Rattus norvegicus: one gene and its partner. The protein of the gene in region 2 purifies or fractionates together with the protein of the main gene of each other region. This does not show direct contact. Links are inferred from orthologs where the notes say so. Each region holds a gene or a part of one and is shown on either strand. Other genes may lie near its edges.

Region 1 (14,365 bases), about 17 Mb from region 2:
TTTAGTGCTTAAACTAGCTAGCCCCACATGAACCAAGCCCCTGGCCACCCACCCAGCACCCGCACCCTGCCAGCCTCAGCTTGCCTCAGCTTGGAACCACACACCCAATCTGAAGGGGTCTGTTTGCCTTGCAGAGGCCCGTGTGAACTGCTCTCTTCACCCGTTGCTGCTGGACAGCTCAGCTTCCTGCCCTAATCTCTATGCCAACTGGCTGGTCATTCTCCTGCTGGTTACCTTCCTCCTCGTCACTAATGTGCTACTTATGAACCTTCTGATCGCCATGTTCAGGTACCCTCCTACCTCCACATCTGGCCACCTGCCCTCACCAATCCCTGCTCCCTCTTAGTAGGGCTGGTTTTGGGGTGCTGACAGAGACAGAACCCATGTCCTAGTATTTTGCTGCTGTGTCCACTGGGCTGGACCTGCAGTAGAGGGCCAACACTCTAGGTACAGACATACTATGAGCCCACCCCTGCTGTCTGTCCTGTTAGGAAGGAGGGTGAGTCTACAGGGTTGGGGACTTAGAGCTGTGTAAACACCCCCTCCCCTCCATTGAGTAAACTCCACTGCAGCATACCCGAGAATGTGCCTGAGCAGACACCCATCCTAGCCTCCTTTCTGTTGATTTGATATAACTGACTGAAAGCAGGTTAGGAGAAGAAAGGGCTTACTTCGACTTACACTCCCATATCACAGTCTGTCACTGAGGGAAGGCAGGGCAGGAGCTCAAAGCAGGAACCACAGAGGAGTGCTGTTGGCTAGCTTACTCAGGCTCATATTTACCCAGATTTCTTACACAGCTCAAGACCTCTTGCACAGGCCACAGTGGGCTGGGCCCTCCTACGTTAATCTAATCGCCCACAGACACATCCACAGGTCATATGACCTTGACAGTCCCTCTGTTGTGGTTCCCTTCCTAGGTGACTCTAGGCTGTGTCAAGTTGATAGTTAAAGCTAACTCTATTAGCCTCCATCTTTCTGAAAGGGTTCCCAGGACAGCCTAGCTACCCACTGGATGCAATGGGGGATGGCATACAAGGAGTGGGGGGTGAAGGGGTGAGATGAAGGACGGCAAATGAGACACAGGGGGTTGCATGTGGGGTGGGAGGTAGATGTCAGGTTGAGATAGGGTGCTTTCGTGGCAGGGAGAGCAGCTTATAAGGCAAGGGCTTGGCTATGTGTCCTGTAGCTACACATTCCAGGTGGTGCAGGGCAATGCAGACATGTTCTGGAAGTTTCAACGCTACCACCTCATCGTTGAATACCACGGAAGGCCGGCTCTGGCCCCGCCCTTCATCCTGCTCAGCCACCTGAGCCTGGTGCTCAAGCAGGTCTTCAGGAAGGAAGCCCAGCACAAACAGCAACACCTGGGTGAGGTCCCAAGCTGGATGCCACTGCTCCTGAGGGTCCCAACGGACAGAGGAGATCACAGAAGGGACTGGGGTTCCTCATCTAGGCCAGGTTAACCAAAGCTTCAGGTACAGACTAGACAGCCACAAGGCCAGCCTGTCCCCTTGCAGCCTGAGATCCCTGCATGGGGCTTATTTCTGTCATCTACCTTGTGCTCTGCCTGGCGGCATCTGCCCTTGGTCTCTCTTGCATCAGCGCCTAGGGAGAGCCCACACAGCTCTCCGACGCTTGCTGCTGTCTCCCACATTGCCAGAGAGAGACTTGCCTGACCCCGTGGACCAGAAGATCATTACCTGGGAAACAGTTCAAAAGGAGAACTTCCTGAGTACCATGGAGAAACGGAGGAGGGACAGTGAGGAGGAGGTGCTGAGGAAAACGGCACACAGGTGAGGCAGCCTGTGGGACCCCAGACAACAGGCATGTAAGGACCAGGCTGTCGGGTGCCATCTTCCTGGTCATGAGCTGCTCAGAGACGTAGAAGGGGCCCTGCCAGGAGGCAGGTCAACTCATGCAGCAGGGTTGGGCTGATCTTGGTCGGCTGGGTGCTATGAGAGGCAGTTAAGTCTGGAAGGGGCTCCCCATTGTGAACACATGGAGGTGGGGGAATATCTAGCCTTTTCAGTAATGGGTGGGGTTTTCTGAACTGTCTTAAGATGGGTGAGACCATCTAGTGCCAGTAAAAGAACCTCTGAGCTAGGCAAGCAGGCCTGGGTCACAAGACCCAGCTCTCTTGCTCTAGGAAGAGGGTGTATGTGTGTGAGTTGGGAGCATAAGCCCATAAGTAGGCAGCTTTCTGTGATGGGACTCTCTTCCTCCTCTCTCAAGTCTGAAGATCCACCCCTAGTCGGTGCTCGATGGTGGAGGGGGCTGTTCCTGAATGCTTATAGGGATGACCTGCTGGTTATCCTATTGCTTGGTGGTCAATTCCAAGCAGGGACAGGATCTCAATCTCTTGGAGGGTACAGAAGTGCTCCAAATCCAAAGACCGGCCCCAGATAATGATTGGAAGGACAGTAGGGCAAGAGGCGACAGTTGACTGAGGCCCTGAGAAAGCAGTTAGGACAGGCAGGCTCCCCCTTGTGGAATGCCATGGAAGTGTCACAACTGCGGCTGGCCTGCTTTCCAGAGTGGACTTGATTGCCAAATACATCGGGGGTCTGAGAGAGCAAGAAAAGAGGATCAAGTGTCTGGAGTCACAGGCAAGCTAGCAACTCAACTGTCCACTTTTCTTCCTGGGGTGGGGACACCCTTCTGGGAACTACCACAGCCCTGTACCAGCATCCTGATGGGTAGGTAGCATCAACCCTGAACAGAGCAGAAAGATTATGGGCAGGACAGGTGAGACCTCAGGGCACACTGGTCCAACAAAACCTAGGTTCAACACCACATCTGGTCACCACCCCTTATCGTGCTCTATGGGGCAACCTGGTCCAGAGTGTGGAGTCCCAGGGCAAGAATAGCCCTGGTAGGAGGGCAATCATGTGGGAGGAAAGCAACCCCCCTCGTTCCCCCCAACAACCCTCGCCAAAGTCCCAGTATCTCCCTTGGCTCTCTCTAGGCCAACTACTGTATGCTCCTCTTGTCCTCCATGACTGACACACTGGCTCCTGGAGGCACCTACTCAAGTGAGTGTTGGTTCAGGCTATGGGAATGAGATGGGTATGGGCTCCTCCCTTCAGCCACCAGATTAAGGCAAGAGAAAAGCTTCGGGCTGCATATTGGATCCTGCCTTCTCCATCTGTGTTAGAGGTTCCTGCTACCCTTCGCAGGCCACTATTTCTGAGGCATACAGGTGCCCAAGGCTCTGCCTAGCACTGGTCTTGCTATCCTTACCACTTTCCATGTCCTGGCCCTTGTCTCACTCCTGCCCTGCCCCAGCTGGGGCTTTCCAGCTAAGGATCCTTTCTCCCTTTCTTGCTCCCAGGTTCTCAAAACTGTGGTCGCAGGAGTCAGCCAGCCTCTGCTAGAGACAGGGAGTACCTAGAGGCTGGCTTGCCACACTCAGACACCTGAAATGGAGAAACCACTTGCCCTAGAGCTCCAGACCTGGCCAGATTGAGGTTTTGGGTCACATCAACCTTCCCCTGCCCCAGCAGCCCCGAGACCTTGCCGCAGACCATGTCTTGGACACCTCTTCCTATGAAAATGAGACTCATGTCTTTGGCATCTATCTGGGAGCCCCAGGCGTCCTCTCCAGCAGGGGAAGTTTTCTCATGTCCTACCTAAAACTTTCACCAGCTAAGACTGGACAGCTGGAACTGGCCAAGTCCCACATGGGATACCATCTGCCTGGATGGGGCTACTTACGTCTAGCCTGTCTTACCCTGAGTTCCAAAGAGGCCAACCTCTTAAACACTAGAGGTTTCCTTCTTGTCCTCTGATTCATCCATCAGCCGACCAGCTTCTAGAGGGCAGGACTCAGATCTACTGTAATCAGCTCCCATCCTTCAGCCCCCACAGCATAATTTGTGTGATTGTCCTGGCACAAACCCCAAGATACTGCTCAAGGGTACCCAATGCTATTTTACTTTCTATAAAGCCTGTAGACCACCTCAACTAAGCTAAACTGGACCACAGGGGTGGCTAAACCAACATTTCAAACACCTGGGGAACATGGAGTTATCTGACCCAATGAACAGCATCTCTGTTCCTTCTACTACTTCTCAAATTAAATGACCACCCAGGTCCTTTCTAGGCGAACTACAGAGACTGGGGCAGACCCGGTGCTTAGCAGGCCAGGCTGGCTAACTTGGTCCAAGTCCCTGGCCTCCACATGAAATACTCACTCGTGCATCCTTCTCCTCCTCCCTGGCCCAGCTTCAGCTGAAGGATCTAGCATCAGCTGTGTCTTATACAGAGGTCACAAGTCCTGGAGACATACAGCCCGGACACCAACCATTTGCTGGCTCACAACTTATCCTCTTCCTAGAACCCGTGGTCTGTGCGGGCCCAGTGCTGGGGCTGCACTGGTTTCTGGGGGGCAGGGGGACCATATTATGCTCATCCAGTACCATCAGGGGCACAAGGCTGAACACAGCTACGAGCCCACTCCCTCTGGGTAGGTTACCAGTGACAAACATCAATGCCCATGGCAAACCTTCACAGCGGTCCTCACTAGAGCGGGGAAGGCAGGATGAGGCTGGTAGAGATGCAGTCCTGTAGTTAGCTGCCCAGGACTGTTTGGACATAACTCTTGAGTGGGGCCGAGAAAAATTCACGAAATTCAGTAAATACTCAAAACCTTTATTATTCACCCCAAACAATGGGGCACAAAGGCCTTCAAGGTCCCCTGACCCACAATTCCCAGTCTCTGCCAGAGTTGAGGCCCACACATCCCTACTACAGAGAGCCCACACTGTCCCACCTGGACTGGGCAGGTGAGGAGGTAGAGCGATGGCACTGCAGTCAAACTGAGGGTCCTCTCTCAGACCCTGGCCCCTCCGGGTTACTATCCCTGTTCCGGAAGTGGTCTCTGCTCCGCTTCTTGCTGCCATGGAAACCAACAGTTTTCATACCTATGGGGCCTGATGAGGACTCAGGACGGGCAGCTTCTGAAGGCACTACCACCTCTGGCTGTCCCTGGTGGCCACTCCATTCCTCAGCCTCAGGCCCGGCGAGATGGGCTAGCTCCACTGAGGCCTCACCCCCTGCACCTGACACAACCCCCTTCTTTAGGACCCTCTTCCTCTCAGCCCTAGCCTCGCTGCCCCGCACTGGTTTGGTGAAGACCACTCTTCCCTCCCCACAGCTAGAGGGGTCCTGGTTGAAAAAGGGCACATAGTCTGTGGGGGATGCCTGGCTTCGAGAGCTCAGGAAGGCCAGGGCAGCATCACGATTGCTCTGCTCACTGGTTTCAGACACATCTTCCAGACTGTATTTGGTCCAACGCTCAGGGTGTGACACATAGTCAGGGACAGGGTGTACCCTGGTCGGGTCAGTGTTCCCATGCACTCTGCTCAAGCTTCTTGCTGGAGTCTGACTTGGGGGAGCCACAGGCCGCTTGAAGCTGCAATTGTCAACCACACTGGTTTGGGGAGCAGAGCACGGTTCCTGCCGGGCTGCACTCTCCAGACAATCAAAGATGCTGTGGCTCCGCTGGGAGAAAGTGGAGCTCATGCCTCGGAGGTGGAACGGCTGCACTGCAGTGGTGGGAATGCCCGTGGGGTGCGAGGGAGGGTCATCAGGGCCCGAGTCCTCCTGGCTCTCCCCAGAAAGCCTCTCTGGGGACAACGCTTGGACCTCCACACCACTAGGTAAGCTGAGGTCAGAGTCCGAGTCGCTGAGGGAGACGGTGTCAGAAGGCAGGGTGTCATCCTCGGTGGGTTCCTCAACCTCCAAGCCGGCCTCTGTCTCCGCCATAAGACCTGACATCCGTCCCACCTGTAGCAAGGCAGTCCCAGTTCTGCCGTGAGGGGTGTACCTAATGCCGCACCCCTCCCCGCCCTCCCGGGCTCTTTCACCTCCACTGTGTGCCAGGCGCCTCTACTCACAACCGGACCGGAGGCCTCGCGAAGCTGGGTGGCTAAAGGGTATCCTAGCGTGCACAGATGTGGAGCTGCAGGTTAGGTGGGGTTAAGGAGAGAGTCAACCATGAGATCATAACAGTGTGGACATACAATAGATGAGCGCTGGGAGATGCTGGTGACAGGGGATCTCCATCAGCGGCTCGTCCCATCACGAGCTCTTAGCAAAGCGCAGCCTCTCTGGGCACACACTGAAGGCACCACCCGGGGTCCGGAGGGGGAGGTGGCAGAAACAGGCACGGTACTGGCCTGGTCGCGGCCCTAGGGAGGCCAGTGCTCACCGTTCCAGCATCCGTACACGCTTCAATAACCTGCCACCTTTCCCGCAGCGTCCCGCCAGTTCCACGGGATTCCGGCCTGTTCAATCTCGCTTGGATTCCTGGGAAACCGAGTCTCGGGCTATCAGAATATTGTGGCTTCAGCGCCCGAGAAACTACAACTCCCAGAAGGCAATGGGGTCACTGCCTAATGCCTGCCGGGACTTGTAACATGTGTGCCATCCCGAAGACCGGAGCGCACACGGAAATCCACCCAGAAATGACGAAAGGGGAAAAGGCGGAGCCGTGATTCCCACAATACTCTAGGGTTAACTGCCAATCGCAAAGGGTTGAGGCTTCTAGCGTCGTCCGTCGGAAGCCACCTGGGCCGGGTCCGACACGAGGAAGTGCGTCACTACGCACTGCGAGCTACAACCAGTTTCCCAGACACTTCCGGCCCTGGGCGGAAGTGGTGCGGGTCTTGTGCTTTGTTGGCTTTCTGGAGTTGGGCGGGACCAAGGTCCTGGTTGGCTCTTGGCGTATAGAGACGTGGTGGTCCTTGTAATGGGTTGGTTGGGGCTTCATAGATTCGAGGCCGTTACCGTGGGCACTGCCTGTCTGTGCTTCCTGACACAGGCACGGACGGACGCTTTAGGTGCTGGACGCTGACCCTACTATTCAAGGCCACACATAATCCTCCTCCAGGCCTGGGACTGTTTTCTTGCATCCTTAGACACCAGAGTCTGAGGATCCACTGGGCTGCTGCATTCTCTCCTCCTTTACTATGTTCTTGAAGCTGTGCAACAGGCTTCCAACAGCCTTGGCCTGGTGCCCATGGGCCTCACAACATAGAATATAAAGGTTCCCTCAGAAGCCAGCCAAGCATGGAACAGGTTGCCCTGGCGTGGTGGGTGGAGGTGGCTGAGACCTAGAATGCCCTAGTACAAGCTTGGGGTTCACCGACAAATCAGCCTACTGCTGGGACCTGAATCTTAGCCAGGACTTCTCCTCTCTAGTGGCCAATTAACCCAGCAGCCTGGGGGAGGGGTGCAGACAGGAGTCAAAGAGAAAGACAGTGGTGGTTGCCCCTTGTGTCCAGGAGGTTGCTTTAGCCTGATCCTCAGTTCACAGGGGTGAGCTCAGCGGACTGCCTTTTATTTCTTGAGACACAAGCTAGAACCATCCAGCTCAGTGGAATATTTCCAACACCTAGATACCTGAGATGGGGTAATGGTCTAACCTTTACTGTCTTGTCCCTCAAAAGGAAAGTGTTCTTGCAGTTTATCCCCAACATTCTGTGCTGGATTCCCCTGCCTTGTGGCTCCTCCTACCCGACTCAGCCGACCTGGCATTCCCAACAGATGAGTGGAAATGAGGTCAAGGCTGGTGTTAGGTCAGCATTGAGCTCCCAGTACAGGGAGGTACAGAAGTGAGGGAGTACTCAACATGGAGTGCTCCCAGGGTCCCAGCCCTCCCCACCCACTGTGTTCCACAGGCTCTATTGGACCTGCTCACCCTGTACCTGGCAAAGTTCAGAGCTGACGAGCCAGGTCTCTGACACCACTGGCACAGGAAGAGGTCTGGCAGTCCCATTAGCATGCCTGATTTTTTCCTCCTTTATTAAATGACTGTTTCAAGATTTAATTACAGTTGAAGGTGACACGTTAGAAAGAATAAGTGCATTGAAGGCATAAGAGTGCTTACAAACCCAGCTCTTGAAATGGAGGCAGGAAAGGGACAAGGATTAAAAAGATGGGAGCGATGTGACCCACAGTGGGCAGAGTGGGTGGACATGGCCTTCTAGCTTGGCTATGTGGCCTCTGGACAAGTAGCTATGGAGGAGGTTTGGCTCAGCAGGCAGAACTCTCCAGGGGTCCCAGAAGTACAGGGCCCTGCCAGCTAGGGCCAGCTCCACCTCTACGTCCCCACATACGCCACCTATGTGTGGTGTCGGCTCCAAAAGGTGACAGGAAAAGTTCAGAACAAAAAAGACTCAAAAGTAAAAAGGCTAAGTGTAGCAGAGTAATACAGAAATAGTATATACACAGGCCATGGCCCCCAAGGTGGCCTCTGGTCATTCCAGGGACCCTCTGGTGCGAAGCGAAGGGCCTTAGTACACGGAGCTGTTCCGGATGCCACAGCACAGCACCATGCTCAGAATCATCTCGAAGATCTGCAGGAGGGAGAGGCACAGTCAGCACCTAAGACCCTGGGAAGGATGCTTTCTGCCCGCCTACCCACCAGAGGCCCTGTGCTTACCATAATGACAGCTACCACAATGGCTGCAATTCCAATGAGGTACAGCTTCCCAGAAAAGAGCTCATCGATTTTCTGATGGCAGTCTTCCTGCAGGGATGGCAAGACGGTGGTTAACAGTCAGTGGCTAAGTCACAGCTACCACCCTACTCAGTGATGGGGCCTAGGCACCACAGCTTATCTTCCACATGTAAATAAATGTAAAACACATGGACCTGCTGCCTGTGGCCTTCTCTATCACGGGGTAGTGTTTTTGACCTCACTAGTACCCTAGGGTACCAGTGTTTGAGGGACTACTCAAGAGAACAGGTTTTCAGGATATTGCAGGGGTTAACCCAGGCTGTCAGGACCCTGCATCCCACTAATTGAGATGGTCTATGGGCCTTTCAGAGGTCCTGCCTGTTCAGAGTGCTGATCTTCCTGGCGTGCCACATTCCCCTACCTACCACCCAGGATATGATGCCCACCCCCACTCCACGCCACCTTCAGAAGCTGAGTGAATGAGTTGCTGCTTGAGGGACACAGGCTGTTCCTCAGCACGGTGGTGGTCAGTGTGGTCAGCGTATTGGAGCCACAACAGTTGAGCTGCAGAGACCAAGAACAACACTGTCAAGGGAAAGATCAAGCCCACAGCACAGCATCACCCCAAAATATACACTTGGGAGCTGTCTGTCCTTCTGCCTGGTTGGTCACCCTGCACACAAGTCCCATTCCTCCAAACCCCTGGGAAAACGAGGCCCATTAGATTCCTACCTGGGGAATCTAATCATAGAGGAGAACCTTTCCCAGGTCTTGTTACAGAGATCTGGGACTCATGCCCCCACACACCCCACAACCTGCCCTCCTGCTCCAGCTTAGCTGTACCGTCTCATGGAAGGTCTTCACCACTGCCTTGGCATTGTTGGCATCATCATCCATCACAGCCTGCTGAAGGGCCTGGTCGTAGAACTGCTTCACATCCTTGGCGATCTGGGGGAGAATCATGGTCACGTGCAGCGAAGGGGCTACCACCAAGAGTATTCATCCCACCCCCCATGTGCTCAGCCCCATGCCACCTCTTCCACTAAGCTCCCAAGACCCTGCCCCCACCAATGGGCCCCAGAAATTAAAAAAAAGTACCTGATAACCTATGGGCTCAGAGCAGAGGGCATATCTCCCTCCCCAGTGAATCTGGCTTACCTGGTCTTTGTTTACAAAGCCCCAGATGCCCGCAGCTACCTCACAGGCAAACAGGATCACAAGGCAAGTGAAGAACTAGGAGAAAGAAGAGGTCAGAGCCTTGACCAGCAAGCCCAGGCCTAGCCCACGTGACCAACAACTATGTGCCAAGGGGGTTGGCTGTATCCACTAACCATGGCCTGATTAAGAATGAGCCACGTAGAGCCACTGAGAGATAGAGCCTGATACAGCCCCACTGAGATGGCCAAGTTGTCACAGCCTCCCCCTGCTTCCTATTCTGCAGGATATGGCTGGTGTAAGAAATGCAGCTGACAAGTCCAAGTGTCCACAGCCTTCACTGAGGCACATGCAGCAAAACACCCCGCAACCCTGACCTCAGTTTCCTCACCTCCTTTATCCTACAGCCATGGAAAGGTTAAACTATGAAGTGTGCTTCAGTCGTTTCCCCTGCTTTCGATACTGTCAGGGCCTCCCTCCCAGGCTGACCAGGCTCTAGAAGGCATATCTATCTGGGCTTCAGCTTCTTCTCCAGTAGCTAGTATGGTCAGGAGCACTAAGGCTGGCTTTAGGGGTGAGATGCCCTTCTGGAGTCTATTTTTTTCTAAAGTGAAATCCCTTTTTCTAAGATATATATTCATATGCAGACCCAATGGAAATCAAGCAAACAGGAAAACCAAAACCTTGGGGAAGACACGTAAGTTGCCAGAAACCCTGCTCCCCAGCCCTTCAGCCCTTTCTACTCACCGTCCCCAGCAGGCACTGGGACTCCTGGATGGCCCCATAGCACCCCAGGAAGCCTACAAACATCATCACAGCTCCCACAGCAATGAGAATGTAGATGCCTGGGGAGGGGAAGAGCTGGGTAAGCAGGCTGCATGCACCACTGCCTGAGATAGGAAGATCTGACTCACAACCACAACAGGCAGAGGTTAGCAATGTGCGCCATTTGTGCCTCAGTGTCCTGTGAGAGGAGCCGCCACTGCCACTGGAGGACAAAACAGCAATTCAGTGCCCAGAGAACACGGGTAATCTCCATTTCACAGGTATGCTCTGCTCTGGAGCCAGTCCCCCACCACCTGCACCTGAGATCAGGAACCCTCCTCGGCACTCACTGTAGAGGGCTGAGGCAGACTACCCACTTCAGTGCATGAAATGGGGAAGTGTCGTGGATGTTGGGGCCCGATGTCCAGGACTCCCAATACTGGATGAGTGTGAAGTCAAGGGTAAGCTAAGCCAGTAACCAACTCCAGGCACCTCATCTCAGGAACGCTGTATAACCATTCTGCTCACCTAACTCTAAGGACAGGAACCTGTGGGGGGGTGGCTGGAGGGCTGACAGAATGATAGGGATAGTTTGAGCAGAGCACCCAACATCTGCCACTGGCTGGGCTGTGAGTTTGCAGGGGAACACTGTGGCCCACGAGGCACCAGTTGGACCATGTCCCTGCCTCAGTGGCCACAGTACCCCTCAGCCCCGAGGGAAAGCACACTGTGTCTCTGATGAGCCCTCTATCTCTTGGTTCCTCAGTAGAAGCAGCCCATCCCCCAGTCTCCACGGCAACAATGCAGGGCACTCCAAGCTTCCTTGTACAGAGTCAGACCCATTGTCCCCTGCCTGGCCAGACCAGCGGAGAAAGTACCGTGGCCTGGACCTGCTGCCAGACTTAGAAACAGGCCAAATCCTCTGGCCTCACTAAACATGCCTGGTCTAGGGGAAACCTCCCACCAAGGTTGCCTAGAAACTGGTTTCACCTTTGCCTCCCAATGGGCGGAGCACCTTCAACCAGGTCCCTGTTGTCAAGCCCTGAAACCCCAACCTCAAGATGAGGTGTAGGCTGTCTCAAAGGAGGATACATACAGTCGGGCACCCAACACACAGGCACTGTCCCAGGACTTCCTAGGCCTAACGCATGTCTCACCTAAAGCCCATGTGGTGGTTTCTGGGATGTTAGGCAAGCCCTGAACTCACTCTCCTAAACACTGGACAAGACACCTTTTTCAGGGCCACATCTGCTCCTAGAGGAGCTCAGTTCAGGGGCAGCAGGAAGCTCCAGAAAGTCAATTCAGGTTGTCCAGGGACACAGCAGCCAGAGTAGCTCCTACCCATAGGCTATGGGCCTTGCTGTCAGCACCCAACCTGCTACACAGTGTAGTCCCTGAGACTATTTATCCAGTATCCAGGGGGCCATAACCCCAGATGGGCAGGTGGCTGAGCAGCTCTGGAACTGGAGCCTGGAGTAGACTATTATGAGAACATGAGGATAGAGACCTGCTTCCTAGGCCACCCTATCTGGGCTCTGCAGGGTACCCAGCCTCTCCTGCCATACCAGTGCAGAGTGGGAACACAGCCTTCCCCTTGTCTGTCTCTGATGCCCAGATCTCCCTTGTAAAGAGACCCATATCAGTTGCTACACAACAAGCCAGTGTCTGTATGAGCTAGTGGGCATCCTCCTCCTCCTCTGAAGGTACCAGATCCAAGGACGGATAGCTGGTGTGGGCCCTTTCCTACTAACAACCACGCCTGAAAACTGCTACCCCTCACAGCCTTCCTCGAAGGAGACCAGGTTCTGGCCCCAGCCTACATTGTCTGGACTCTACCACGGTCCATTTTACCCACGCTGAAGCTGTGGGCAGAGTATAGGGAGGAAGGAAATAGAGCGAGTCATGTGGTGACCAAAGCCCTGTCTGCTCTGGGGCACTTAGGCGGAAAGGGAGAATGCTGATTACTTCAGATCTCCTGGTCCCCACTCAGCCTCAAGCATGTCTCCCCAGCCCCTTCTAGGCTCCACAGGAGGAGGAGGAAGATCCACATTAGACCCCTGATGAAGGTGAGAGCTTTAGAAGGGTGAAACCATCTCCAAATACTTCTTCAGTTCTCGGGACACCAGGTCCCTCTTCCAGGGGGAGGAAGGAGGAAAGCTTCCTCCTTCAGCACAGAATAGTGGACCACAGCATAGGACAGCATAGCACAGCCGCTATCTTCCTACTTGAGAGGGAGGTGCTCAGTCCCCCACAGGCAGCCAAATAAGGCAGGTGCAGCAGTCTGGCCTCTGCTGGTGGGGGTGGGGTGGGGTGTGATGGGGTATCTGAGTCATTCACTGTCTCCAGCCCTCCCCAACTCAGGACTCCTGGGGCCTCAGCTGTTGCTAGCCCAGGCATCCAGCCCCACCCTGCCCAGGAAGGTTCACTAGAAATGTCCATGTTAAAATAAGCAAGGTCCTACAAGGCCCCTGCCCTTCCCAGCTGCTTCCTTTCAGTTTAGCCCAGTCTCAGATCTGTGGGGTCCCCAGCAGCACCACACCCAACCCAACTCTCCTCTTGTAGGCAGCCTCCCTCTCCAGCTCATATTAGGCCTAGGCCACTGTGGGTTCTAATGCCCCACCCACCAGATTCAGATTCATCAGCCTCTTCCTGGAAGCCCTCCCTGACTGTTCTGGACTTGTGACTAGACCCTGTCTCTTTGTTACTCACCCACATAGAAGGTGCTAGGTGCTGGTTTGTCTCCCAGTTCCAGGTAGAGAAGGCTGGTGGTTTGTGGATCATGGCGCAACCACAGAGCTACACCTAGGATCACACCTCCAGCCAGCTAGGAAAAAAAAATCAGGAACAATGTCATATAGAGGCCAGAGCGCTGTGAGGCGATGGAACCCTACGATGCTTATCATATAAAGCCATCACTTCCAGTTGTGGAGCCGGACGTCAACCAGGCCCCATGGGGTCTGCTCACTGAGCCACTGCCGCTGAGCTCTGGGTCCCACCAGCTCCTTTCATTGTAACTCTAGAACAGAGTTCAAGTGTACCTCTAATAGTGCACGACACAAACAAGGAGGTTTGGGCAGAAAACGTGGCTCAGTTGATAAGAGGCTTTGGCATGTAGGGAGCCCTGGGTTCAAGCTAGCACCACGTAAACTGGGTTTGGTGGCACTTGAGAAGTAAAAGCAGGAGGATCAGGAATTCAAGGTCATGTGAGTTTGAGACTAGCCTGGGCTATTGAAACCTTGTCTCCAAAATCAACAGGAAACATTTTTCCCCCTACTGTTCCAGATTGACCAACTGTACAACATTTTTATCTGAGAAGTGGCCACAATGAGCCCTAGCCACTCAGGATGCTGCCGGGCTCTCCCCTGGTACCCTGTCCCAACGGCCCTGAGACTGTGTAGAGACTGCTTCAGGTAGGGTACTGAGAACTCTGCGGTAGAGACACCAAGGTCTCCCTGCCAGGAGGACAGGGGTGACCATGTGATGTCACCAGGCCCCACGGTGAGAACAGACCAAGGGAAGCAATCTCTTCCCCACTTCTAGGCCTTCTCTTCTGGAAGGGTCAGTGGCACTCCCCAGTAGAGACAGCAAATAGAAACCAGAACCCGGGCCTGAAAGGGCACCTGCTCTTCACTGTGGGGATTCAGGACAGAGCACAAGCTCAAGAAAGTTCTGGGGAAATTCCCAAGCAGGATGGTCCCGGAAAGAGGACATATGGAACTCACCTACCTTCTTCTACCCTAGGATCTCGTGCTCTGCTTAACCCTCAAAGAGGAAGCTGTGGTGGGGGATACTTTCTCCTGATTACCATCGCCCTCTACTCCTACCCCATTCATGCGCCCTTCTTCCTCAGTTTCTCAGTCTCCTCTTTAGGTGTTTAATTCCATGTTCACACTCCAATCCAAGAGGGATGAGCCCCCAACCTCCACCAGAGCCTAAGAGAAGAGAGTGTGTAATATAAAAATCAAAGTCACACTGAGC
Region 2 (15,464 bases):
GCGTGCCATGGAGCTGCTCAAGGTGTCCAAGGACAAGCGAGCACTCAAGTTTATCAAGAAGAGGGTGGGCACGCACATCCGGGCCAAGAGAAAGAGGGAGGAGCTGAGCAACGTGCTGGCAGCCATGCGGAAGGCGGCGGCCAAGAAGGATTGATGACCCCTCCCCCAATAAAAGATGGTTCTTAAAAAAAAAAAAAAAAAAAAAAAAAAAAAGAAGGCATCTTTGAGGTCCAGGATGGTAAGTTGAAAGTCTTAGGAGGAATGTTAGAGAGGAGGATGTAGGGGTTGGTAACCATGCGTAGGTTGGGATTACTGCCTTGTTAATGAGGTAGAGGTTCTGTACTAACTGGTAGGCTTATTCACTGGGAGAATGGAAGTGTTGCATTAGAAGTCCCTGAAAGAACAACAATATCAACCAACCAGACACTCCAAAGCTCCCAGGGCCTAAACCACTAACCAAAGAGTACACATGGAGCGACTCATGTCTCCAGCCACATATGTAGAAGAGAATGGCCTTGTTAGGCATCAATGGGAAGAGAGGCCCTTGGTCCTGTGAAGGTTCGATGCCCCAGTGTAAGAGAATGCCAGGGCAGGGAGGCAGGAGAGAGTGGGTGGGTGGGTGGGGCAGCACCATCATAGAGGCAGGGGGAGGGAAAATAGGGAAAGGGGATAACATTTGAAATATAAATAAAGAAAATATCCAATTATTTTTAAAGGGGGGGGGGAGAAGTCCCTGAAATAGGAGGTGGTTAATGATGGGCTTGAGTCTGTGGTGATGGTTTCAGAAATGGGAAACTAGGGTTGGGAAGGGAAGGGAGAAGGGTCCTTGAAGTGAACTAGGACCATCTGGTGATGAGTAACAATCACCAGGGTTGAAATAGCCCATACTCAGGAGTGGAGAGAATCCGGTAGGGTAGAACAGGACAGTCTCAGGTAGTGATCCTTGAGGCAACTAGAGGAAGAAGAAGATGGGAGTCAGGAGAGATTATGGGAGCCAGGGGGAGGAGGTGGCCCCAAAACAGCAGAGGATATCACAGTCAAGTAAAGGTATCAGGCAGATGGGCATGATCAAAAAAGAAAGTGAAAAGAACCATCCTGTGAGAATGCAGGGAAGTGGCAGGCGGGGGGGGGGGGGCAGTTTGGGAGGAGAGAGAGGGAAGAGGAGAGGATCAGTTCCCCACAAGGCTAGAGGCCCAGCACTAAAGCCAGGGCTTTAGGCTCAATTCCTCCTAGGTTCTCAGTACTAAGATAATAGGTTTTCTCCACCAAAGAAATAAGCCAATTCAAGCCAAATTAAGACATATAGAGGCAGATTTATTGAGAGCAGCTCTTGAGTACGTTCACAGATCCCAAGGACAGGGGAGGGAGCAGGGAAATGGCACACCTGGGCTAAGGTAAGGGGGTTTTATAGGTCTTAGACAAGGAGTGATGATATGTAAGTTCAGAGCTGGGGTGGTGTCCACATATGGTCAGAAGCTGAAACCCTGGGCGGGCACTCAGGTGGGTTGCCGGAAACTCAGAGATGAGGGGTACTGACCTGCTAGCCCAGAGCAGCCAGGGTTAAGGGAAGAAGGGCAGACAGGGTTTCCCAGTTTGTGCAGGGGTGCCAATCCCATCACTGTCTGTCCCTTGTGGGACACCATGGAATAATGGCTGAACATATTTGCATCATTGGATGTTAGTGGCTAAATATCATGCTAGGGCCAGGATGTATTCAGACCAGCTCTCCTTCCTCTGGGTGATTCAGAGCTGGATTCAGCCTCATCTTTCCTTCTTCTCCCACACAAGGGCATGCTTCAGAGTATTTGAGTGGCTTGTTGAGTTTATTTGGGGAAAGCAAAAAGAGTCAAAAGGAAGCTTTGCTTGTACATGCATATGAGTGTGTGTGTGTGTGTGTGTGCGCACACACATCCTAAACAAGGTTATTTCACTGACTGACACCATCTTCTTGGGATCTCCAGATTTCAGAGTAAGATGGGGTTCTCGGGACCTAAGGAAGTCCAGGCTACGTAAAAGAACAAACCAATAAACAAACAAATATGGGAAGAAGTCTAGGCCCTATTCACTGGACCCAGGAAACGGGTCCCCTTCCTCTCCCCAGGAGCCAGTGCTGCATCATCATCCTTGTTTATCTCCTTCTTCCTCCCCTCTCTGAGGGGCAGTGTCCAGCTCACCTAGTCACCTGGGAGTCACGTGGCACCCCAAGTCCCCATGTGGCCCTCTCCTGCCCATGCTGGCTCTGGGTCGTCAGATTTATCCATGTTTTCATAAGAGTCTGCATCTGGATTAAGACCAGGAAAAGGAAAGTATAAATAGGATAAGAAGGAAGCTCTGGGTGGGCGGCCGGGTCCAGAGGACAACTGGGGGCGAGGGGGTCCAGAGACAACAAGGAACAGTGCAGAAACACCCACCTTCCTCATGACTGGGACCAGACCGAATTGATTGGAGCTGAGGAGCTGCATACAGGATCCCTCTCATGTCTTCGTAGGACTGGGACCCTGCTTAGGCATGGGATGGAAAATTAGAGACCCAGAAACCCTGCTGGGGCTTGGGGAAGGGAAGTGCTGCCTACCCAGGAGAGAGGAGCTAGGCAGGGAGTAGAAGCTCCTTATGTCAAAGTGGGAATGATTTGTCATCATCGAGATCCTACTCAGTTGTAAGAAGGCTAAGGTCAAAGGAAGGGTCGAGAACAGAGTTGGGAGGAGTCAAAGCCAAGGTCATAGGAAATGATACAGACAGCTGGGGTCAAGGATGAAGTCTGCACTATTAGACTGGAGTGAGGTAAAGGTCAAACTCTAGGGGAGATGTTGGGGGTCAATGCTTTAGTTGGTTGGCTGATTATTTTTTGTTAAATTTTTGTTACAAAGTCTCATTCAGCCTAGGCTGGCCTGGAATTCACAAAGTACGGCAAGCTAGCCTCAAATCTCCCCGCCTTAGCCTCCCACAAGCTGGAATTCTAGACACAACTATGTCAGGTTCATTGGGGTCAAGACTGATCTTCACGGTTAGAGATGGTAGAAACACTGGGAAACAGGCTAGAGGGTGGAGTTACAAATCGGGTCCAACGCCAGGGTCAAGCTTAGGCTTGGGGATCAGAGCTAAGTTTATATCATCTGAGATTGACCAAAGAAAGATGTCCTAAGTACTCTCACCAAGGGAGGATGCTTCCCGGCTGGGGTCCCATGCAGACCCGTGGGGGCTCAGGAAGTCTGGAACAAGAAGAGAGACAAAGATGTCACTTTTTCTCCTGGTCTTCAGCCTCTTCCAAGAGTGGCAGCCCTCAAACACTCAGATACACACCCATCGTCCTGCCAACTGGTTGGGCCAGCTCCTCATCTGCATTTTCATAAGACTCGGCTGTGGAAGAGAGAGCCCAGGAGTTGCTCAGGCAATAGGAGCTCTGCAGCACCAAGAGTGCTTTCCTAACCACCAGCCCCACAAGGACCCCACATTACCATTGGAGAAGGAGTCTTCCTCCTCTGGACCTACGGGGTCATCCTCAGGGTTCTCATAGCCACTGCCATCTGATAGAGAAAGAGGGTTATCTCTAGTAAAGGTCAGCAGCCCACAGTTGGGGAAATGTTGGGACCAGGGAGAGTGGGGCCTCACCCTGGGAAAGTTGATCCTGCTCAAGGTTGGAGTCATTCTCATAGAATTCAGAGCCCTCCTCGCTGTCTGGCTCTTCATAGGCCTCCCCTTCTTCTTCCAGTCCTGAGTTTGGGACCGGTGTGGAGAACTGAGTGGCATCTCTCCTCTACCAGCAGTCCGCTAACCCCACCAGAGGCTGCTCTGACACTCTCCAGTTGAGGAACCACCCTTCAATCTGACCTGTTTCATGTCTCTGAGCTCCAGCATCCTGGACTTCAATGCGTGGATTTCCATAGGACACAGGACCACTCCCTAGGCTAGCAGCCCAACGCTGAGCATGGGCTGGTGGAAAGAGTGTTTTAAGATGGCTGTCAGAGGCTGTTCAGAAAGCCTCTGTGTGCCTGTGTGACTGGCCTTGAGCCGTGGGGAAGGGATCGAAATGTGGGCCTTGGCCTTAAGTTCTAGGACAAGGCTCACTCTGGCCAGGGTCCAGACACTGGACTTGGCCGATCTGATGTTATTTAGTTCTGGGCTCTACTCTGGGGAAGGTTCTGCTCCAAGAAGATTGGAGAAATGAGGACAATGCATAGCTGGCTACTGCCAGAGGGAAGTTGAAGGCCTCCCAAGGGTGGGTAGTCCCTCACCCTGGCCAGAGGTAGATGTAGGAAGGGAGAGCACATTCCCATACTGGTTCTGGGTCCCGTTTCCTGAGGGAGGCGTCACTTTGAAGAATCTGGAGGAAGAAAGAGTTGGTGGTGTACCTTAAGGCTGAACCACGTAGGGATTCCCAGTTCCAGTCTATTCTGGAAATTAACTGTGTAGGGATGCGTACCCAATGAGTTTGTGACCATGCCAAGCAAGGTGATTTGGAAGGTGGTCTCTGAACTTGCGCAGTATTTCAACCAATAGAGATGGCCCCAAGGCCCACGGGACAAAGAGTGTAAAGCTTGCAGCAAAAGGGCATTTGTACTTTACCTCCTAGCAGGGTCGGTCATTCGCTTCCTCTTCCTCCTCAGGATGAAGGCTGATGGGATGTAAAGAGGTGGATCAGGAGAGGGTTTGGCAGGCAGGAGGTGAATTTGGGGATACAGGGGAGGTCACTTAGGTCAATATAGGAGATGATCATACAAATTCTAGGGCCTCCAGGAAGTATGAGAGACAGTAAAGAAGCATGAGGCTATGGGATGTGTCAGATTGGCCAGCATAGGCTTATTCTGAGAAAGATGGGGTAGAATTTAGAGAAACTCAGGGGCATGACTTACCTCTTCGAAAATAGAGAAAAGCCGCCATAGAAACCATACAGAAGATGACATATACTAAAGTCACAACTGGGACTATCCATCCACCAGTCCTCAACAGCCAGAGCCACACTGCTAAGAGGAAAGTGCTATGAGACAAGAACCCCACAACACATCTTATTCCCCAACCCCTCAAGGGTCGTACAGCTGAGAGACTAGAGCAAGACACAGACTCAAAGTCTTAATCTCTTCAGGGAGCTCTTCTCCCTTCCACTAAGGAAGAACCAGTTGTTCCCAGGAGAACAAGGGTTGTGCCACAGAGCACAAGACTCCAACAAGTCACATACAAAGCATGGGTATTATCCTAGCAATGTGAGGACTAGGAGATGGTTAATTCTGCAGTTAAGGATAACCATGGTCAACATGGAGGGCAAAAGTGAATCTTCCAAGTTAGAGTTGAGATCCAACATATGTTGGGATCAAGTTTGAAGTGGAAGCAGAGGTAGCACTTAACAGTTGTGGTCAGGATAGCATGGTACTGTTGTATTAAGGAGAAGCAAGGCAAGACATTGTGGCGAATTTGATGGAGGGAGTGAGGAAAGAGAAGACAGTCAGGCTCCTAACTTGGGCAAATGGACCCTGTATATGCTTCTCAGTGCTCCATTTGTGCAAAGCCATCCAAAGTGTCTATGTGGGAAAGATGTCGATTTGACTTTATATATTAAGCCTGAGATGTCCACTGGACATGAAATGGCAATCCCAGGAGATGACTGGTTTTGGGGAGTATAGAGCCCAGGAAAGGTATAAGGAGTGGTAACCTAGGAACCATGGGAGTAAAGGATGCCAAATGAGAAGAGGGTGTGGATAGAAGTGAGTACAAGGCCTGGGGCTCCAAAAGGGAGCAGTGGTGGAGGAAGAAGCCAGCAAAGCTCACAGGGAAGAACCAGAAAAACGAGATCTCAGAAGCAATGAGCAAAGAGCTAGAGTTAGGATTCAGTGTACAAACTGGAGTTTGGGATGAGGCTTGAAGCTGGTTCTGGTGCCAGTTCCAAGTCTGTCTTGGTATTGTACTCATGCCTCAGCCTCCCAAGTTCTAGGTTACAGTTGTACACCACCAGTTTTGGTCTGTCTGTCTTTCTGTCTGTCTGTCTGCCCCCTCTCTCCACACACACACACACACACACACACACACACACACACACACACACACACACATGAGAGAGAGAGAGAGAGAGAGAGAGAGAGAGAGAGAGAGAGAGAGTGTGTGTGTGTGTTAGTTCTAGGGATGGAAACAGAACCTCATACATGCTATGCCCACACTCTACCACAGAACCACACCCCTAGCCCTTCTAATTCTTCCAGTAGCTCCCAAAATTGGAAGAAACCCTACCTGACCTTGCAATGACCTTCACGTGCATCTTGATGGTCAGGCCTCCTTGGAGACAATAATAGGTACCTTCATCTGAAGCTTTGGCTTGGGGCAGTAGCAAAAGAGACCCCCAAACCCACATCTCTCTCACTGGGTGCTCTCCCCCAAGGCTTAGGCTCAGTAATGAAACGTTAAGCGTCTTAGGATGCACATGGGTCCAGGAGATGGAGCCTTTGGTCACTGGGACAGGGGGTACGCCACAGGACAGCCAAAGTGTGGAGCCAGGGGCCACAGTGAGATCTAAGGCAGGAGATAAAAGGTAAAGAAAGTATCATGGGGGGGTCTCATTTCCCCCCACCCCCGAGTTCCCAGCACCATCCCTATCCTTGAGCCCTCACTTCCCAGCACTCGAACAGCCCTGTTCCCCTACCTTGGTTGATTAGACTCTGATTCAGACTGATCTCCCGTGGGGCACATACAGGCTTTGTTTTCCAGACCTCAGGATGATCTGTAGCCCACACATACAGCTGGGAACCAGAAGTGGACCTGTGGCTCCCTGAGGACCTGTTTCCTAGGTCACAATCCAGGTCCCCCAAGTCTGAAGCATTCCACCGGAACAGCTCCCCTGAGAAGAGACCCCAGACTAGACGCAGATCAGGAGAAGGGGGAGATACAGAGGCCCCAAAAAGCAGAGCCAGAGATACAGGGAGAAAGCCACTATGACTAACAGATGAGTGAGACAGAGACAGAGTAGCTCAGAGCAGCTACGAAGCCGTAGGAACCAGGTGCCTAGAACTAACTCCTTCCTGCCGCTGTAGCGTCACTAGACCTAAGAACTTCCTGTGTCCATGGAGAAACCCTCTTTACAGCCCACCCCCACAGCCCAGCCCTCCCAGGCACTCACCACTATCCTCCACGTTTACGGTCCAGGCAGGCTGCCAGGTGTCCTTGAAAGAGGGCCTCTTTTGGCACAGATAGAAGCCCCCCCTATGGTCCGAGACATTGACAATCACTAGCAAGATGCCCAGGGGCCCGATGTGCAGACCCAGGTCCGGGGACCTGAGGCTCAGCTCCAGGAAGGGTGTTGACTGGTTACCTCGATACCAAGCCAGCTTCTCAGAAGAGACAGGTGAGGAGTCCCGGAGGCATGACAGCACAACATTGTCTCCCTCTGTGGGGAGAGGAAAAGGAGAGCCCCAACCCCTTTTCCCTCCTCATAAATCAAAGGACCCCAGAAGTTCACCATATGGAAAGCCCTAAAGGTCTTTCTGACACCTCTCAGAAGTTTACAAGTAAGAAAATGGAGGCTCAAAGAAGGCCAGTTACTCAACCAGGAACCCAGGCTCCCAACCCTAGCTCCTTCCAGTCAGACGTACAGACAGACAGACATACCTTCTACCTCCACCAGTAAGGAATTCTGGGGCCTGCCTCCTACTAAGGTAAGGAAGAGGAGGAGGGAGACAGGGAGAGGAGATGGCATGGTAGCCAGGCTCCCTGGGGCACCCGGCTTCTGCGCGGCTGCGCAGAGGATGCTGGGGCAAGCAGGAGCCTAGTGGGCAATGAACCATGGGTGTCTGTGAGGGTTGTGGCAGTCCCCACATAGAGGAAAGGGGGTGGTCACACCTTGGGCCCCCTTTTGCAGGCACTCTTCCAAATCCACAACACTTGTCCCCTCCTGTCACCCAGCATTTAAACCAAGTATGTGATCTTACGTATGGTTCGGCATGGAAGTCCGGTAAGGCTAATGTCTTCACCACTGCACGCACAGTGCTTTCCACACAGTGGCACCTGGTAAACATTTGTCAAATGAGTGGGTACAGATTTAGGGTCTTTTTTCTCCTCCTTTCTCCAGGCTCCAAGCTCTGACCCCATTTTACAGCTCTGTTTCCAGCTGGTAAAATTAAAGGCATACGCCATCGTGCCTGGCTTCCACTTTTTTTCTCTATCATCTGAGGATAGCATTAGGATTTTATATTGGGTCTGGTGATCCAGGCCTATAATTCCAGTTACTGGAAAAAATCACAAAAGTCAAGGCCATCTTGGACTGCAGAGTGAGTTCAAAGCCAATCCACAGTACTCAGGGAGAACTTAACTGAAAATTAAAAAGTTTTTTTAAAAAGCTGAGGACATAGTTCAGTGATAAAGTATATATATAAGACCCTAGATTTGGGGTTGAGGATTTAGCTCAATGATAGAGCCGCCCTGGGTTCGGTCCTCAGCTCCGGAAAAAACAAAAAACAAACAAGCAAACAAAAGACCCTAGATTTAATCCCTGCTACCACACAGGCATAGACACAGACAGACAGACAGACAGGTACGCGCGCGCGCGCGCGCGCGCACACACACACACACACACACACACACATACCACACTTCATTCTAGCTTAGGGTACATAGCAAGACCCCCCTCTCAGAAAAGGAGGAGCCAAACAGGCACAGAGGCACACACCTTTAATCACAGCAACTGAAAGGCAACAATAGCTGGATCCTTGGAAGTTTCAGGCCAGCCACGGCTACTTAGTGAGACTCTGTCAATCCCACCCCCAATATCCCCAAAAAGGAATGTGAGCTGGGTAGATAATGTAGACCAATGGTAGAACACTTGCCTACCATATATAATTCCCTGAGTTGCAGCACAAGAAAAAACAGTGGGTGGTGTCTAGGGTGTATGTGTGTGGGTGGTTGTAGTATGATGTGTGTATGTATGTGTATGTGTGTGGGGTTTGTGTGTATGTGGTGTGTATGTGTGCATTTAGTTTGTATGTGGTGTGGTGTGGTATGCATGTAGTATGGTGTGTGTGTGCATGTAGTTTGTATGTGGGGTGGGGGTATGTGTATGTGGTATGGTGTGTGTGTGTATGTAGTTTGATTGTGGGGTGGGGGTATGTGTATGTGTGTGGTTTGTATGTATATGGTGTGTGTGTGTGCGTGTAGTTTATATGGGTGTGGTGGGAGTATGTATGTAGCGTGGTATGTGTGTGTGCATGTAGTTTTTACGTGGTGTGGGGCGTGTGTATGTGGTGTGATGTGTATGTGTATGTACTTTGTATGTAGTATATAGGGGAGCATATATGTGGTGTGGAGTGTGTGTGTGTGTGTGTGTGTGTAGCTTTTTTTGGTTTACAGTTCAGTTTCTGAGAGTCATCATCAGTTTGTGGCTGAGAGTGGCGCCCACTCAGCTACATGCAAAACCATGGTTAAATTTCCTTATCTCTAAGCAAGTTAGTAAGAGAGCTGACCAGAAACTGTTCTGGGGGCACAGCAATCAGAGCTGGGAAGAGGCTAGACAGCAGTATGGTGACCAAGAGCCATGTGCTTTGCAGTGGTCTTTAGAAATGGCTTCTTATTAAGATCCCTTTATTCTCCAGGTAATTCCTGCTTCTGTTGTAGAGACTCACAGACATTAAGTTTAGGCCTCAAGACTGGAAGAGCATTATCTAAAGTCACACAGTGATAGTACAGTGTCTATGCATGTGTGTGTGTGTGTGTGTGTATGCCTGTGTGTATATATATGTGTCTGTGTGTGTACCTCTGTGTGTATGTTGTGTGTCTCTTGTGTCGATGTGTCTGTGTATCTCTGTCTCTGTGTGTGTTGTGTGTGCCTGTGTGTATGTGGTGTGTATGTGGTGTGCGTGTGTATGTGTATATGTGTGTCCATGTTTGTGTGCCCAAGTCTGTGTGCCCGAGCATGTGTGCATACCTTTCACTGATGACAGCACTCAGAGGAAAGACTAAGAGACCCAAGAGACCTAGTTTCTGAGTTGAGTCCCAGGCCTATCTCTACTGGGCTGTGACTTCCTGTTTGCCACAGGCAAACCTCAGGGGACACCACAGGTGGTGGGCCCTCATTTCCCTTGATTGAGCTGAGGGGCCAAGGAGAAAGAAGGAGGCTTGGGAAGAAGAGACTTCTAACAGTGGGCACAAACTTGCCTAACACCCAGCAGTGTTTCTCCCTTCTTAAGACCCACAAAGGATTTCCATTCATCTAAAGCAAACAGACAAGAAAACCCTCCAGTCCACATCCAGAGGAAATGACACTATTCTCTATTCATTCCTCCATCTTTCGTCTTCATTCCTCTTATTCAACTTACCAAGCATCTCTCCCACCACAGACCTTTTCCACCACACAACACTTTCCACTTGGCTAGCTCCTTTTTTTTTTTTTTTTTTTATCACTTAGCTCTCAGTTCAAATGTTACTTCCTCAGAAAGGCCTGCCCAGAACTGCCAGGTACTTCACATCCTTGTTTTATTTCCGTTCTAGCATTTGCCTCAGTTTTAAATTATACTCGTTAGGAGTTAATCTCATTATTTACATCTCGAGTCAGAATGCAGACTGTCCTCTCCTTGTCTTATGTCACTGGTGAGCTCTACCTGTGAGGGGGGATCCACAGCCCTAGGCTGTTCATGCTAACAGAGATCTTTTTTGTCCCTAGATGCACTCTGGTTTAATGAAGGTTTAATATGTATTTATTGACTGAAGGAAGAAAACAAGTGGGGAAGAGTAAAGAAAACCTTTCCCTGAGGTGGAACGATGGCTTGTCTCCAAACGTGAGGACCTGAATCCTGTCCCCAGAGTCTTGTGTAAAATTGCCAGGCACGATCTGGGAAGGTGGTGTGGTGGGTAAAGGGCTTACTACACAAGTGTGAGGATCACAATCCCCAGAGGCCACATAAATGCCAAGCAGCCTGACTGAAATCTCAGTCTTCGCAGGACCTGCTGACTAGCAACACTAGCTTATTGATTGAGAGACCCTGGCTCATTTGAGTTACGGTGGAAGAGCAGAGGAGGGCAATTTTGGACATCTACACGTGGCCTCTATATGCATGGACCCTCACATACACACATGTGCCTGAATGAAAAAAAGGAATAAAAACGGAGCATGTGACTCCCCCTAAGTATGCTGGAGGAAAAAGTTTATTGTAGACATGAGAGAGAGCAAAGGCAGAGGCAGAGACTCTGGGAAAGTCCAGAATGAACATGACCCCGAGCTGGGCCTTGTGAGGAAAGTGGGGAGGGGAAAGCCAAGAGACCAAGAGGCCAAAAGGGTAAAAGGTAAAAAGGAACCCATAACCGAATGACTGGATTATATGCAGAAGAGCATCTGGGAGAAGGACAGCCCCTGGACTGGAGCCTTCAGGGTAGGGGGCAGGGTATGCCAGCCATACCCTGTAACAGGCAAGGAATAGAGATGCTGGGAGAACCTGGTGACTTGATCTGTTTTGATATGTTAAATCCGCCTTTTGCCTCAGGTTTGAGACCTAACTTCCATTGTTGATAGATAGTAAGGACCATCCTGATAAGGAGTGATGTAATCTTTTCTATGACTACTTCCTTTTGACTCTGAGGTGTCATTGCTGGGGATCCACAAAAGCCGGAATGCTTCGTAAGGGTGATGGGAAGGAGGGAGGGAGGGAGGGAAAGAGGTACACTTGCTGTCCAGGCTTTGTGCCACCATCTGGGGCTAGGGAAGTACAGCAGTCTGTGATGCTGGGCTGGCTGGGGTTAGCCACTTTTGGAGCTGTCTGGGATGCAGATTCAGGGGCTGGCGAGCAGCTAGAGCAGTCTGCAGTTGATTTGAAATCTGCTGGGACAGACAAACTAAAGACAGACGATAAAGTTAAGGAGTTTAGGGGAAAATTATTTGTGCCATTGAAACTTCCAGGCCCTCCTTCCTGGTAGTTGGGGGAGGGGAGTTTTAAGACTAGGGAAGAAAGATCGAGACCCCTACCTTCAGGAATGGGTGGAATAGGCAGGTGGGGGGAAAGTCTACTGATTGACGGTACTTCTCTGGAATCTGATTGACCTGCTGACCCCGAAGCTTACAATAATTTTTTTTAAGTTTTCAAAAATATAAGAAATTTTAAATATGTTAGCATTACCTCTGTTTGTAACCTATCCTGAAATCTACATTGTAAAAAGAGCAGTAGATTCGTGCCTTAGGGTTATAGTAAAAGCTTGGGAACCCTAAAATGATTCTGGGTTGAAAGCCTCTCTGAATTTATCTCCTTTCAGAGTCTGGGCAAGGTAAACTGTCTTCTCAGCCGGAGAGGGTCGCTCTAGGAAAGGAGGCCTGAGGCCTGATTTTTTACCAAGGAAGAGAAGGCAGCTATGGCCTTGGGGGAGGAGCTGGCATGCTTGCTGCTGTTAAAGCTACAGTTAGTCAATATCACAGAGATCGGAGAAGAATAAATTATAGCTATTTCAATTAAAATGACAGAGATTCACCCACTACCTGCCCTAGGCTCCCATGGTCTCTACGTGGCTGGCAGTGGTCAGTTGTTGCTGCCTGTTCTACAGAATTTAATTTCCAGCTGATACGCAGAGTACAGTGGGTATCTGTCTGCCAGACCGAGACACAGGGCAATAACCCAAAAGTGGCTACAGTTTGTGTACAGCCCTGGCAGCAGGTGAGTCATGGGGCAGTTTTGCCCAGTGGTTAATTTTTTCAAGAGCCTTCAGGTGAGCTACTACTCAGTTGCTAGTGTGAGAATTCTCCAAATTTTTATGTAGGCAGTTAATGCTAAGAACTTTCCTCTTAGGCCTGAGTTATTGTGCCCCGTAAGTTTGGGTATGTTGTGTATTAAGTTTCATTCAATTCTAGGAAGTTTAATTTCTGACTTGGTGTTCCTTCGTAGTGAATTGTTCAGTTTCCATGTGTTCAGTAAGCTTTCTGCTGTTCCTGTTTTTGATATTCACCTTTAATCTACAGTGGCCTGTAGGTCTCCCTTCTCCCTAGGGTGGTTGGCTATGAGGACTAAGAGAACAGAGTCGAGGAACAGGGTTTAGGAAGGCCCACGAATGGAAATGAGGTCGTTCCAGAATCAGCTTAGGGGAGACAGATCAAAAAAAATTTTTTTAAAAAAAAGAATTATTTATTTACTTTTTATGAGTACGCTGTTGTCATCTTCAGACATGGTTGTCTTCAGATGGTTGTGAGCCACCATGTGGTTGCTGGGAATTGAACTCAGGACCTCTGGAAGAGCAGTCAGCACTCAACCATTGAGCCATCTCGCCAGCCCTCTACAGAGCTTTTAAGCCTAAAATCCACAAACATCTGTGCCAAGTTATCCACCAATCAGGATTTAGGGATGGGGATTTCCTTAGGAACGTGTCTTTGTTGTACACTTACCCTGCTCCCATTGGTTGGGGTATTCAACTGTGGCAGGAGACTTGGCTTGTCTGATATTCATGTCTTGTCTACAAGGATGGGACTTGTCTAACATTCAGGTCTTAACTCGCCAAGCGGGATCAGTTACCAGTGATGTCTTGGGAACTTAAACATTACTGGAGCACTGCTCAAAATAGAAGTCTTATTCCGAATAGTTTCTTATATTGGGCAAGTGTCTCACTTATGTTGTGGTCCATCCCAGGGGCAGCTTATAGCATAAAAGCTTATACAAAGGTACAAGATGAACTTGCTATAGGGTGGTTATTTTGGGTGCAAGCCTATAGTGGGTAACTATACAAAACAGCTCTACTGACTTCTATTGTGATTCTGTGAACATAACAGAATTACATAATCAATCGAAGCATTTGAAAGTTTTTTAGTAACAGCAGAAACATATGAGAACGTTTCCTTATAATGGCAGGCTAGCCAGGTAACTGTTACCTAGGCCTTAATTTTCCATCTAGGTCTTAATATTTTATCTAGGCCCCAACACTCTGATGAGTATGCAGTGTCCTTCTCTATTTCTTCTAATTAGTTTTGGTTTGAAGTCTATTTTGTCAGATGTTAAAATGGCCACACCAGGACTGGAGAGATGGCTCAGCAGTTAGAGCCTGAACTGCTCTTCCAGAGCTCCTGAGTTCAATTCTCAGCAACTACATGGTGGCTCACAACCACCTATAATGGGATCTGATGCCCTCTTCTGGTGTGTTTGAAGACAGCAACAGTGTCCTTATATACATGAAATAAATAAAATAACTCTTTTTAAAGAAATGGCCACACCATCTTGTTTCTTAGGTCCATTTACTGGAATCTAATCTTTTTCCATCCTTATACCCTAAAGTGATATCTATCTTTGATATTACAGTGTGCTTCTTGGATGCTATTGTAAGGCTGGAAGTGAGTCTTAACTACCAGGAGACCCCTTCAAGTGAGACACGAGAATGGAGTTCGAGGCAAATGTAAGAGGTTTATTTTTCTGGCACGTCAGGATCAACCCTTAATCAGCCCCTTGTGGCAAATGACTAGAAGACGACCCTGAATGTCTATCATAAGCAGTTTTTATACTTTTTAGGAGTTCAGGTTACATCAGCAAGGTTACAGTTTGTTTTGTTTTGTTTTGTTTTGTTTTTCTGGAGCTGGGGACCGAACCCAGGGCCTTGCACCTGCTAGGCAAGTGCTCTACCACTGAGCTAAATCCCCAACCCCTAAGGTTACAGTTTTAACTTATTGGCTAAGCATATTGACCTTTGAAGTCTATTGGCTAGCAAGCATATAACATGCATTCAAACTCTATCTGGGACCAGAGGGTCAGGTGACTATCAGTCAGTACATTTGGCTTTTCAAGAATGTCCCTGCTCCTCCTGAGAACGGTGGGTAGAGAATGGAACTTGGCCTAGCCTTGACCCAAGGCCAGAAGCTGGTACTTGGCCTAATCTTGACCTGAGGCAGTGGGTATAAGGCTGGCAAAAGCCCCTAGGGTCCTTTGCTATAAAAGCATAGACCCCATTTTCACCCCATTCTGTTAGTCTATGTATTTTTATTGAGGAGTTGAGATCATTGATGTTGAGAGATATCAATGAGCTATGTTTATTGTTGTTGTTGGTGGTGGTGGTGGTATGTGTGTGTTTTCTGTGAGCATAAATTTTTTGCAACCTACCTTCAATCTCTCCTCTAGCCCACCAACCACCAGAAGTAATGGAAGAGAAAGTTATTAGGAAATGGAGGAAGTGAACCTGTTTAGCAATAATTCTTTTTTTTTAAATATTTTATTTATTATATATTATGATTACACTGTCACTATCTTCAGACACACCAGAAGAGGGTATCAGATCTCATTTCAGATGGTTGTGAGCCACCATGTGGTTGCTGGGATTTGAACTCAGGACCTCGGGAAGAGCAGTCGGTGCTCTTAACCACTGAGCCATCTCTCCAGCCCTTTTTTTTTTTTTTTAAATTAGCAATAATTCTTAGGGGGTGAGCTCAGTCTTCTTTGTCAGCAGTTCAGTCCTGTAGCAAACACCAAATACAACTCAGCAGGTGCAGACCAATCCAGTAGGCAGACAAATAGCACATATGAACCAGCAGCTACAGTCCAGTC

What was found.
Region 1: the proteins of Cd19 (region 2) and Cd81 purify together in Homo sapiens (affinity purification with western blotting, with the first as the bait; 3 studies listed by BioGRID). This does not show direct contact. The link is inferred for Rattus norvegicus from reciprocal best matches to the Homo sapiens genes CD19 and CD81.

What each region holds. Positions count from the first base shown.
Region 1 is NC_086019.1:207,674,512-207,688,876, reverse strand, and holds the end of Cd81 (CD81 antigen), read right to left. Parts: intron 13,212-14,365; coding exon 13,097-13,211; intron 10,468-13,096; coding exon 10,370-10,467; intron 9,701-10,369; coding exon 9,626-9,700; intron 9,416-9,625; coding exon 9,311-9,415; intron 9,032-9,310; coding exon 8,930-9,031; intron 8,537-8,929; coding exon 8,450-8,536; coding exon of another isoform or gene 8,364-8,449; coding exon 8,301-8,363; 3' UTR 7,783-8,300; downstream 1-7,782. Other genes in the region: Trpm5 (transient receptor potential cation channel subfamily M member 5), read left to right, coding at 135-288, 1,190-1,371, 1,664-1,796, 2,537-2,609, 2,969-3,035, 3,335-3,423; U5 small nuclear ribonucleoprotein TSSC4, read right to left, coding at 4,816-5,781. UniProt on the Homo sapiens protein: Structural component of specialized membrane microdomains known as tetraspanin-enriched microdomains (TERMs), which act as platforms for receptor clustering and signaling.
Region 2 is NC_086019.1:190,416,560-190,432,023, forward strand, and holds Cd19 (B-lymphocyte antigen CD19 precursor), read right to left. Parts: upstream 7,710-15,464; 5' UTR 7,676-7,709; coding exon 7,588-7,675; intron 7,367-7,587; coding exon 7,100-7,366; intron 6,821-7,099; coding exon 6,626-6,820; intron 6,496-6,625; coding exon 6,217-6,495; intron 6,189-6,216; exon of another isoform or gene 4,962-6,188; coding exon 4,851-4,961; intron 4,613-4,850; coding exon 4,564-4,612; intron 4,322-4,563; coding exon 4,233-4,321; intron 3,931-4,232; coding exon 3,829-3,930; intron 3,712-3,828; coding exon 3,610-3,711; intron 3,525-3,609; coding exon 3,456-3,524; intron 3,358-3,455; coding exon 3,301-3,357; intron 3,210-3,300; coding exon 3,153-3,209; intron 2,499-3,152; coding exon 2,412-2,498; intron 2,282-2,411; coding exon 2,190-2,281; 3' UTR 2,175-2,189; exon of another isoform or gene 2,006-2,174; 3' UTR 1,294-2,005; downstream 1-1,293. Other genes in the region: Rpl36l3 (large ribosomal subunit protein eL36-like), read left to right, coding at 1-154. UniProt on the Homo sapiens protein: Functions as a coreceptor for the B-cell antigen receptor complex (BCR) on B-lymphocytes. Decreases the threshold for activation of downstream signaling pathways and for triggering B-cell responses to antigens.